3 linked regions of the Solanum lycopersicum genome follow. The protein of the gene in region 3 binds, or shares a complex with, the protein of the main gene of each other region. Links are inferred from orthologs where the notes say so. Each region holds a gene or a part of one and is shown on either strand. Other genes may lie near its edges.

Region 1 (3,756 bases), on a different chromosome or scaffold from region 3:
GATCTGTGACTATGAAACAAGATAAAAGTACATTTATAGTATTGATACAGAGCAACAGAAGCAAAATATCATTCAATCTTCATGCAAATTCCAAAGTTGAGGAACTTGGGATTTTTGCGACTATGAAACAAGATAAAAGTATGTTTATAGCCTTGATAAAGAGAAATGACAAATGATATAGAGTTATGGAGCACTCGATCTACTAACAAAGTAAAAATTTATCTGGTCTATGACCAAGTAAAAGATTTAATTGATAATAACAAGGCTATCTTGGTCATATAAAAGGAGTATACCACAAAAGGAGAAACCTACCAAACATGGTTCTCCAAAAGACACCTCAATCCTCTATACAAACAAAAATTACACCAAAAGAAAATAAGGGATCGGAGACTACTCCTCAATTGAGCAAAGCTAATCTCCAATTCTCCACCCTTTCAATAGCTCTCCTATTTCTCTCTTTCCAAATGACCCACATTACTGCAAGAGGAGTAACATTCACACCTTGTGTCTTCTTATCCTAACTCCACTCTTCCAACTGAACATCAACACTTCAACAGACATTTGGGATTGCCCAAGAAATATCAAACCATCTAAAGATATCCTACCATAACCTCGAGATGTTTTGCAATGTAGCAAAATATTGATCATGTCCTCTCCTGCCTCTTGACACAAGAAACAACAACTTATGCCCACCACCTTTCATTCCCTAAGATTCTTCACCGTCAATATCACCCCTTTAGTAGCTAACCACAAGAAGAAATACACCTTCTTCAGCACCTTAGGTGTCCATACCGAGTCATACAGAAAACTAACTTCCACCCTAACAGGAAGCTTTTATAGGACTTAATAGAGAACACTTTTTTATTCACCAACTCCCAACTCAAAGCATCAGGTCTATCTACTGGTTTGCATTGCTTATGGTATAAAACTAGAAAGCTTTGAAGATCGGTCATCTCCCAATTTCGGAAATCCCAGAAGGTCCCACCCCCTAATTTGCTGAACAGACAGCTCCCTTTGCCCAGAAATGCTATACAACACCAAGAAATCATTCTTTAACCAAATCACTGCACCACTTTTGACCCCCAAAAACTAGTCTCCTCCCAACCCCAAACTTAAAAGAAAATGTTTTTGTTAAAGGCTTCCCACCCCTTCATTATATTCTTCTACATGCCAAACTCGGAAGGTAACCACATTTGTTCTCCATCTTCCTTCCATAACTCCATATTTGTCCGCTATCACCCCTCCCATAAAGCTTCTTCCTCCATCTCGAATCTCCAAAGCCATTTATCCAAGAGGACTTTGTTAAAAACCTTCAAGTCTTTAACCCCAAGTCCTCACCACTGTTTAGGAGATGTCACGGTCTCCCGTCCCACTAGGTGAAACTTCTTTGTCCCATCCGCCGCATCCCAAATGTTCCTTTGCTACCTTTCCAGCTTTTCTATAACTCCACACCAAGTGCGTTGAGCTGGGACATGCGATATTTTACCATCCTGTACAACTCTGGAGCATTTCTGCATCTTTTTACCCATTCTCCCAATTCAAACCTCTCTGTGTATCTATAACATCGAATTCGTATGACCTCCCACAAGTGAGGTTACGCTTACTTTACCCCACCTTTGATAAGTAACAACAAAATTTAAACCTAACTGCAACAGGCATTACTATCATAGGTTCCTTAACTCATACCACATAGAACTAGACTTTGGCAGAAACAACTAAAGTGAGAGACCAGCTTCTTAACTCTAGAGAAAATCTCAGGTGCCTAAGTTCATGCATATATCATAAAAAGCTATCCTTTTTTCAGTTTATTTACAACACCCAGTTTCCCACCACTTCAGTAGAACATTTAAAAATCAGAGCAATAACAAAAAGCTATCCTTTTTTCAGCATTAAAACTTAACTGAAAACAAAAAAGATGAGCTCATGAAGCTTACATGACCATGAGGCTCAATTTGCCAAATACGAGCTGTTTGATCCACAGAACCTGAAGCTAATTTCGTGCCACTGCAGTTCCATGCCACCGAATGCACCTTTAATTTTTTTTAAAAAAACAGAGAAGATAAAGTATCACATAGTCAATTCATCTAATCAGAGAGTTCATAAAAAGGAAAAGCAAAATTAGGGTTGTATTGTTAACAATGAAGTGAAGGAATAGTTTTAGAGAGAGAAACCTTCTTCTTGTGTCCCTGGTACTCTCTGCTATGAAGATTTTTGAAGGGTATTGTTTCCGCCATTACTCTTCTGCTTGTTTGCTCCGTTTACTTCTCTGAATATTTTTTTTGCTTGTGTAGAAGACGAACAAAACGACACACAATATTGTCGTTTCATGCCAACCCTGTTTAGAAAATGATAGACTAGTCCTTTAAGTTTGAGAATGGTCTAAAATAGTCCTTTATACTGTCGAAATTGAGCATTTTTGGTAATTAACACATGGTCGCTAGTAGTTATTTTTGTTGAAACTGCCTCATGAGAAATAGGTGAGCCCTCTTTTAAACAGAAAAAAAAAATCATCTAAACGGGAATTTCAAGGTTTAAATTTAAACGAGTTACATATTTTGTGTTATAACAATGATCAAGAGCTAGAAGTGTTCAACTTTAATAAATTATTTTGGTGTATAACATTTAAGATCCATTGATTTACCGTAATTATAATTCTTTTGTTATAAAGAAACAATTCATATATTTTATAGAAATAATAATATAAATGGTGGAAATTAATCTTTGATATTTTTTTCATCTAATAATTGTGAAGGAATTAATCGTAGAAATATTTATTGTACATGTTTGTGTGTACTGGCATATATTTACTTTTTTAACAATATTTTATTTTTTCACAAGCATAAGTCAAAGTGTTCATCAAAATGATATCTTTTATATTATTTATTTATTTGGTCTATTAATTGAAAAATACATATAACAAAATATTAGTACCTATCAAATAATTGTCAAAACTGTACAATTATGACTTTTGAGCAAGACAACATTTTCAATAATTTTAAATTTAATTCAAAAGTTTGAACAAATAATACTTCTTATTTCCCACTTTTTCTGGAGATTAATTGATGTGATTGGGGATTAGATATAAAATAAAATAAGTAGCTTGCCCATCTATTCAAAAAAGCAATTTAAAGAATATAAGAAATATTAAAATAAAAAGGTTCAATCAACTTCCTAAATACGTGGAGAAAGTCCAATCTCATCCATTTAAGAGTACTATTAGAGATAATTCTACTTTTATTCCCTCAATTATTCATAATTTTAGTCATTGTGATATTTGATTAAGTATATTTAATTTGTAATGAATTAAAAGTGGGTTTTTTAGATTATATTTGAGTAATAATATAAAACTAGTATGATATTTTGATAGCGAATAATTTAACACAATTATTCATGATATGTTTCAAAGGACATATAATTGAAAAAATTAAATACTTCATGCAATTAATCGAAAATATTCATCAGTTTATTCAAATATTATAATTATAAAATAATTTTAAAAAAATTCATTAGTGTTAATCTTAAAGTTTTAGCTGAGCTATAGTCTCTTTTGACAGAATTCAAAGAAATTACAGTTAAAAATAAATTATTTTAGTTCTTAATTAAATATTTTAACTTTAAATTTAGATAAAATATTATACTAAAGAATACATTTTGTTACATAAATTTTATATAATATAAAAATAAACAAAAATATCAAACAAACAAAAAAAGAAATTATTAGCCACCTACCACAAAATCCACTAATTTAAGGTGTGA
Region 2 (3,678 bases), on a different chromosome or scaffold from region 3:
ATTCACATTCAGCTCATTAAGTTTATTTATTTTTTCTTTAAAAAAATCTCTTAATGGGTCTTAATGAGTCTAATTAGATCAGATTTATAATAAAGTCTTAATATTTTTCAGACTCCATTAAAATAATAAATGTCTTTTCATAAATAAATTCTATTCTTCCTTGCTTATCTTCTGTTCAAATTTCAAATTTCTTCCTCTCCTTTTCCAATTGAATACCATTTTTCTTTTGAATAAGTAAGTTTTCATAATCTTTTACAAGTATTTAATTAATATTGTTAATATATAAAATATTCTTAGATGAATTGATATTTATGAAGAAATATTTTTGTCACAATTCGTTTATTGCCAAAATTTCTTTGAAATAAGTTATCATTATTTCTTGAGAAAAAAATTGTTTGAGAAAACAAATAAATCATTTTTTTTGCGATTGGTTATAATCTTATTCTTGAAACAACTTTTTGGAAAAATTATCTTGTGTTTGGATTATAAATTTTATTGATATAATGTTTAATTTATAATTTTATAAATAAATAAATTATGCACATAGTCGATATTGAAAACAACCAATCTTAATAATTCAGTGTTTAGACCTAGAACTACATCTTAAAATTCATTTTTTGCATTCAGATTCTAATACCTTGATCGTAATGTGATTCTTAATATCCAAATGTATATTTAGGTTCAAATTCTTAATCTTAATAAAAATAAATAAGATCTTATAACTAAAGTAGTTGAAAAATGTAATTTCTTTTTAATATTTTATATAAGATTAGAAAATTTTGAAAAATGTTAATTTGACCCTTTATTTGTCAGTGTGTCACCAACAAAACCATCCCTTCGACGCCTTTCATTCAATTTTCTCGAGTAAATAATTCTTTCTTATAAAATAAATAAGAAAAAGAAACCCAGAAAAAAGAAGGATCAGAAATTTGTCGCAGAGGGGCATTTATTTTCCTTGAAGCTCCGAAACCCTAAAAATAGAAGAAGTTGATATCGCCATGGAAAATCTTCGAAATTAGGATTTGGTGTTTCTCTATCTTAATTCTTAAAAAGCAAGTGCCAAAACCCTAGGTCGTAGGGTTTGTCATCTTCGACAACAAAAATGTCTCTTTCACCTTTGGAGTATTTGTACTTTACAGAGCACTCCATCAAAGAGTTGAAAAATGGAAACACCAGCTTCAAATTCGCTCAACCACTTCCCACTCTTCGCTTTCTTTATGAGCTCTGCTGGGTTATGGTATTCATTTTATTTATTTATATATTCAATTTTGAACTATTTGTGTTCCGTTTTAGATACTTAGGATTATTTGGAACTTCCATTATTATATAATTGAGTTAAATCCATTCACGTTGTTGAAATATTAGTTTGTTATTTGCTAAGATAGTGATCTTTGTAAAGAAGTCTGATTATGTAGAAAACCGATTAATAGATAATTCACTACTAATTTAATCAATTTGTTGAACTAATAGTTGGTTTATCTGCAAAAAAGTGATTTTTGATAAGTTTGATGAATTTAAAAATGCATTATTACATAATTGATTGAAAACTTTATTCAATTTATTGAAATACTTGGTTAGTTGCTGAAAGGTGATTTTTTTTGACATGTTTGATTATTTGGAAAGTCGATAAATAGCTAATTGGTAAATTATTGATCCTTTTGGGTGTGGTTAATTGGTTATTTGCCGCAAAACACTTGTTTCTGTTTGTAAATTTATTGAATTTAAAGCAACATACTGATTAGATCATGTAAAAGAACTAAAAAAAAATCCCTGAAAGGATATTTTTGTTAGCTTCGCTTTTCATTGGTTTGTTGCTTTGAGGTCTGTGAATTGATTGTTTTGGGTTGTTTTGGGTGTTCAAGGTTCGAGGTGAGTTGCCGTTTCAGAAATGTAAATTGGCATTAGAGTGTGTGGAGTTTGTGGACTATGCATCTCAGGAGGAGCTAGGGTCGAGTTTGGCCGATATTGTTACCCAATTGGCTCAGGATGTGAGTTTTCCTATTCCCTTTTCTTCTTATTGTCAACTATTAATCCTGAAATTACTGTCCATATTTGTTTACTTTTTTTTTTTGAAACTGGTAACTTTAGTCTATATATCCACAGGTATACTACAACAAAAGTGTAGTTCCCCTTCAAAAGTTTTACAAGTTACAGAATAAAAAAGTCTTAGTCTAAATTAGTCTTAATCTAAACTGCTACCTATAACTAGCACATCAAAGATATCTTCTGTCCTAGTTAACATATCTTGTTCACACAAAAAATAGAAAAGAGCTAAGCAGTCCATCTTGATCTTCTGTAAGCTATTCTGCCAATTTTCAGAACTCCAACTGTTTCTCTTTTTCCAGATTGTCCACCAAAAACATGCCGGGACAAGTTTCCATCTCTTCTCCTTGTCAGAAGCATTGCCATCTCTATTCCAGCTGCTCAGGATTCCTTTAATGCTCCCTGGTTTCACCCATCTTATCTCCTTTAGACAGATGAACATTCTCCATAATTGTTATGTCTATGTACAATGCAAAAAAGATGGTTAATTGTCTTAGCATGTTCTCCACATAAAGTACATCTCGAAGCCAACTGAGAGCCTCTTTTCTTTAGATTTGATGAGTCAAAACTGCTTCTTTTGTTAATAGCCACATGAAGCAGTTTTCTCTGTAGGGTACTTTTGGTTTCCAGATGATCTTCCATGGCCATTCCATCTCCTGTCCAGCATTCTTGTTGAGTTCCTTATAGACTGAATTTACTGAGAATTGACCTTTGGCATCATTCTGCCAAACTAATAAGTCCTCCTTTTCAGTGAGGTTGCTGAAAGAGCCTACTGAATTTTGAAATTCTGCCACTTTGTCAATCTCCCATTCTGAAGGTTCCTCCTTAAGAACAAATTCCATCCTTGTCCAGTCCACATTGTCTCTTAATATGTGAAAATACAAGGGTATCTTTGTAAGCTACATTCACTTGCTGCTCTGGACATCAAACAAACACCCTTGATTTTGGCTTATATACCTGCAACCTGAAACATCAATTTCTTTGTTGGAGTTTTATGAATTCTATTTCTTAGTATTAGCTTAATTTGATGAATGGATGAGTATATTTAGTCAAATATCGACTTGTAAAAATCTCATTTCAGTAGGTCAAACTTGACTATATGTTGTTATCACTAGCATTAGTGGCACTAGGTACAGGTGGAAAATAAGAGTAGTTTTTCAGGTTTTCTTTGGTCATTATCAGGACATATGTATGAGTTACAATAGGATGCAGGTGAGTGGAATTGTAATTGCAACAGTCAAGTAGCTAGATAAGCTCTCTAGGGACATATAGGAGCACTAAGTTTCCCTTTGGGACCATAGTACTAATAGAAGCCGGTGTATAGGACATTAGAAACAACCAATCTGTTGCGAAGTCCAGAACAATCAGATTCGTAAGATCTGAATTTCTCTGGTTTGAGTTAGTTCCAAATCATTGAATTTAAATTGCTATTGTGCATGTTTGATTTTGTAGATCTTTTTGGGTTTGATAACTCAGTCGGCTGGTCAAATGCTGTTGCACATATTTCCTTTCCTTTTGGTGTTAATTTGAGCTTGTAAATCATTATAGGCTCCCTAAATAGTTAACCACACATGCATTTTCGATTTTGCTTTTTGATGTAAATACGAAGATTTATCTTAGTGATGAATTGTTAAT
Region 3 (3,756 bases):
GAATATGTCCAGCCTAACAATAATAACTGCAACCCTAAGAGACATTATATGAGCAATTTGCAGTGAAGCATGTTCAAGTTTGAGAAGTAAAGCAATCAAGCAATAATTTCATTCAATCAGAATTCGAGTTTAAACACAAGAAGATACAACCGACTCTCCAATATTAAGGGTACAGCCTAACAACTAGACCTAATCTTCGAGAAACAAATTGTCGGAATTCCTAAAGTAATAACACTCTCACAGGGCCATATATCTTCGTGTTGATCAACGCTGATTACAATATCGGGTACCCCAGTCATATATTTAATCTCGCCCAGATATGTTTGCAAGCGAGATAATTGTCTTTTCAACAAAGCTGCATCTCTTTCAGGAGACGGTTGAGTCTCCCTGTTTTTTGATCTATTCTCATGTCCCTGGACTTATAAAACTTGTTTTTATAGAGGGACAATTCGTCAACATACTGCCGAGCCATTTTTCATTAACATAATGACACCGGGCCCTTATTGCAGCCCACTCTACAGAATCAGCTGCTTATATTATTGTGATATAAGGCGCCATTTAAGGATTCCATTTCCTAGTACCATGACCAAAATGAAATAAATTGTTATGTCATAACATAGCTGTACCTAGACACAGTTTCATCCTATGGCTGAGTCTACAGGGGAAGCTAAAAACTAAAAATTTATTCTTGAGATGGGGACTCGTGTATATCCTGTTTGCATCTTCTGCAGCACTTTAGTCGAGACTGGAAGTCACCTATTTTTCAAGTGTCAGTTTACTAAAGATATATGGAGCGACATATGCAAATTGCAGAAAAGGATCAAGGCAATACTGGAGTGGGAACTTGAATGGAGTTGGATGCAACAAAATTTCAGAGGCGAAGATCCAAGGAAGATGATACTTAAAAGTAGTCTAACTATGGTGGTTTATGGTATATGGCCAGAAAGAAACAGACAGATTTTGCAAATCACATCCATGCACAAGGAGAAACTAGTACACTTAGATGAAGCTCTCTCTGAACACAAGAACTAGGAATAGTAGGATGTTGTTTAGATATGTAGAATCACTAAATGAGCAGTTAACTATATTTGCCATTTAGTTTGGTTTCTAGCAGATGAGATGAGAAAGGATTGAATTGGTTAATTCATATTTCATCCTAGCTTTGTAAAGAGTTCACTTGGTAGTTGGAAATTAATAAAATGTTTCTTTAATTGCCAAAAAGAGAAAGGAAGAAACGGAAGCACATGTATACAGTTCTTTTTGTTTGTTATGTACACGTAGATCAGAACTACTCAATAAATAAAATTGAGTTGAGATTACCAACCAGAGTGATCAAAGATAAACAATACTAACAGGTGTTTTGCAGGATGAAAATAGAATACAACGGAGAAAGGTCGCAGTTTCCTAAATCCGATTAATTAACTATGCATAGACTCCCTCCATGATAGTCCCAAATGAACTAGCGCCAGGGCAGCTGTACCTAAAAAGCACAGGTCTCCGGTAAATCTACCTACAAAGGTTTAGAGCAACTCTCAGTCTCTCACTGAGTATTGTAGCTGAGTCCATTGAATTACATCAACCAACATTCATAAGGATGATACATATATAAAAATTGAGTCTAGAGTACTAACAGCTCATACTTAAACTTAAACTCATCTTCGTTTGACTGGTCTAATCACTTCGTTAACAACAAAATGCTACCTCTACTTCAAAATCGGATTGACGAGCGGATTATTTAATTGGAAACTGGACTCATAGAACTTTAAAAAGGAACAATTGGAGATGCAATGAAATATTAACCTGACGGAGAGAGACGAAGTTGATGAAAATCTGAGTGACAAGTTCGCGAATTTCAGATTTCGGCGTGCTTTCTTTCTTCATAGAAAGCATTTTCGAGACGATTTCCTCTACTGAAGCTTTGCTTTGCTGCAGAACCTCGTGCGGCGACCTTTCCGGCTTGTGCTCCGGCAGTATCTCACCGGGTTCCCCCATGGTTACGTCCATTTTCATCTTTACTCAGTCGCTGCCTACAGGTTTAAGTGGTACATTAAGCTTCTGGATGTGTACGTTACTAGGGTTTGATCCGTTTACTCTTGCTCGAGCGAGCGCTTCGGTCTTCCCTTCTTATTGCTTCCTTCTTTTTTCTCCTTTTTTAAGCATTAATTTCCATAATTTAAAAGGAAAAAAAATTAGGCAAAAGATTTTTTTAAAAAGAGATATGTTTTTGTTTCAAGATGTTCTTGTATTACTCAAAAATTATTTTCTATGTGATACATTGTTTACTCGTTTAGAAAATACAAATACAAATTTAGTAAATTCCTTCCTTTAATATTTTATTTTTTAATTAATCAAAAATTTTTGAAAAATTGTTGGGAAATTTGATAGTCCGTCATAACTTCCGACAAGCAAATAAAGTAGCGAGCGCTCTAAAAATAATAATAACAACAATAATAGTTTGACTTCAAAATTTTAATACTACTTTTAATGTGATCATTTACCATTAGACACAATTATATTTTCAAACCACTTCCTTTTTTTCTTCATTTGTTTAATTGTATAAAACATACTTAATACCCTTAAAATGAGATATATGAAGCAAATCATCACCCTATAATAAAAGAGCAATCTATGTAGCATTTAAAATTGAATAGGAAAACAAATTTTCTTCAACTACTTATTATTGTCCATTCTTTTAATATTTGTGGCTCTCGAGAGTTTTTTTAAAGGAATGATTGGTCAAAGTTACGTGATAGTCTATAAATATTATTGCCTACCCAACACAGTCATACACAGTCAAAATTTACTAAACGCGATTACAATGAGATGAATAAAATTATGACATGGTTGAGAGATGTTAAAGTTGACTTTCTAACTCATACGTAAAAAAATCTCAATTGGACCATCATAATCAGTGAACAAAGTATAAACTTAATTTTTCAACAATATAAAATACTGACCGCACAAACAACAAATCTATTAAAGTGAGGGCAGGAAATAACGGATGTTGCAAAATATTTTTCAAAAAATTTAACCAACCAAACATGAGAAATTTAGGTGGGAAAAAATATATTTTCCTCCGGTACCAAACATACCCAAATAAGTGTACATCTGAAAGCACCTTCACAACACCATTCACACTTAGCATTCGACTAAACTAAAAAAGGTATCCAACTGATCATGGACAGACATTGTTCCAAATCAACTACTCAGCAAATAAGCAAACAATAATTAGCATACAATAGAAACTGCTTACACACTAGTTTCAACACTAATACCACACTAATAACACCTGTTGCATGGCGTAGACTCTTGATTCAGTGACCAGGCCCCAGAAGAGATAGAAGAAAGGTCCGATAATCACCAGAAGTCTCCGAATGAACAGCATCATTAAGAGATTTCTTATACTTTTTCTGGTACTCTGCTTTTATATACTGCATATCAATCTCAGTTCGCGTGACTATTATCCTTATGAGAGTTGTATCATTCGTCCCCAAGCCCTTCATTGCCTTGTGTAACTCCTGAATCCATTTAACATATGTAAGGTGCAGTACAGCCACAGAGTTTATACAATTTATTCATGTAAGAATTAGCATAGCTTACTAAATCTAAGACAAAAATGATAACACAGATTATAGCAAAGTACTAGAGATTATTCTGAAGCCCCCAATGAAGGATGCTATAGTAAAAACATGAAAATCTTTAGAATCCCATTCCATGTCAAACTTGAGATATAGAGACAACAAGAATAAGAAGAAT

The links.
Region 1: THO complex subunit 5A (region 3) and THO complex subunit 3 share a complex: the UniProt entries of both Arabidopsis thaliana proteins name them as parts of the THO complex. The link is inferred for Solanum lycopersicum from reciprocal best matches to the Arabidopsis thaliana genes THO5 and TEX1.
Region 2: THO complex subunit 5A (region 3) and THO complex subunit 2 share a complex: the UniProt entries of both Arabidopsis thaliana proteins name them as parts of the THO complex. The link is inferred for Solanum lycopersicum from reciprocal best matches to the Arabidopsis thaliana genes THO5 and THO2.

What each region holds. Positions count from the first base shown.
Region 1 is NC_090806.1:70,056,016-70,059,771, forward strand, and holds the start of THO complex subunit 3, read right to left. Parts: upstream 2,352-3,756; 5' UTR 2,235-2,351; coding exon 2,172-2,234; intron 2,031-2,171; coding exon 1,935-2,030; intron 1-1,934. UniProt on the Arabidopsis thaliana protein: Acts as a component of the THO subcomplex of the TREX complex which is thought to couple mRNA transcription, processing and nuclear export. Contributes to the integrity of the endogenous trans-acting small interfering RNA (ta-siRNA) pathway.
Region 2 is NC_090804.1:20,379,116-20,382,793, reverse strand, and holds the start of THO complex subunit 2, read left to right. Parts: upstream 1-791; 5' UTR 792-1,102; coding exon 1,103-1,237; intron 1,238-1,862; coding exon 1,863-1,988; intron 1,989-3,678. UniProt on the Arabidopsis thaliana protein: Acts as a component of the THO subcomplex of the TREX complex which is thought to couple mRNA transcription, processing and nuclear export.
Region 3 is NC_090803.1:65,322,177-65,325,932, reverse strand, and holds the start of THO complex subunit 5A, read right to left. Parts: upstream 2,302-3,756; 5' UTR 2,011-2,301; coding exon 1,801-2,010; intron 1,511-1,800; exon of another isoform or gene 1,325-1,510; intron 1-1,324. Other genes in the region: annexin D5, read right to left, coding at 3,315-3,518. UniProt on the Arabidopsis thaliana protein: Acts as a component of the THO subcomplex of the TREX complex which is thought to couple mRNA transcription, processing and nuclear export.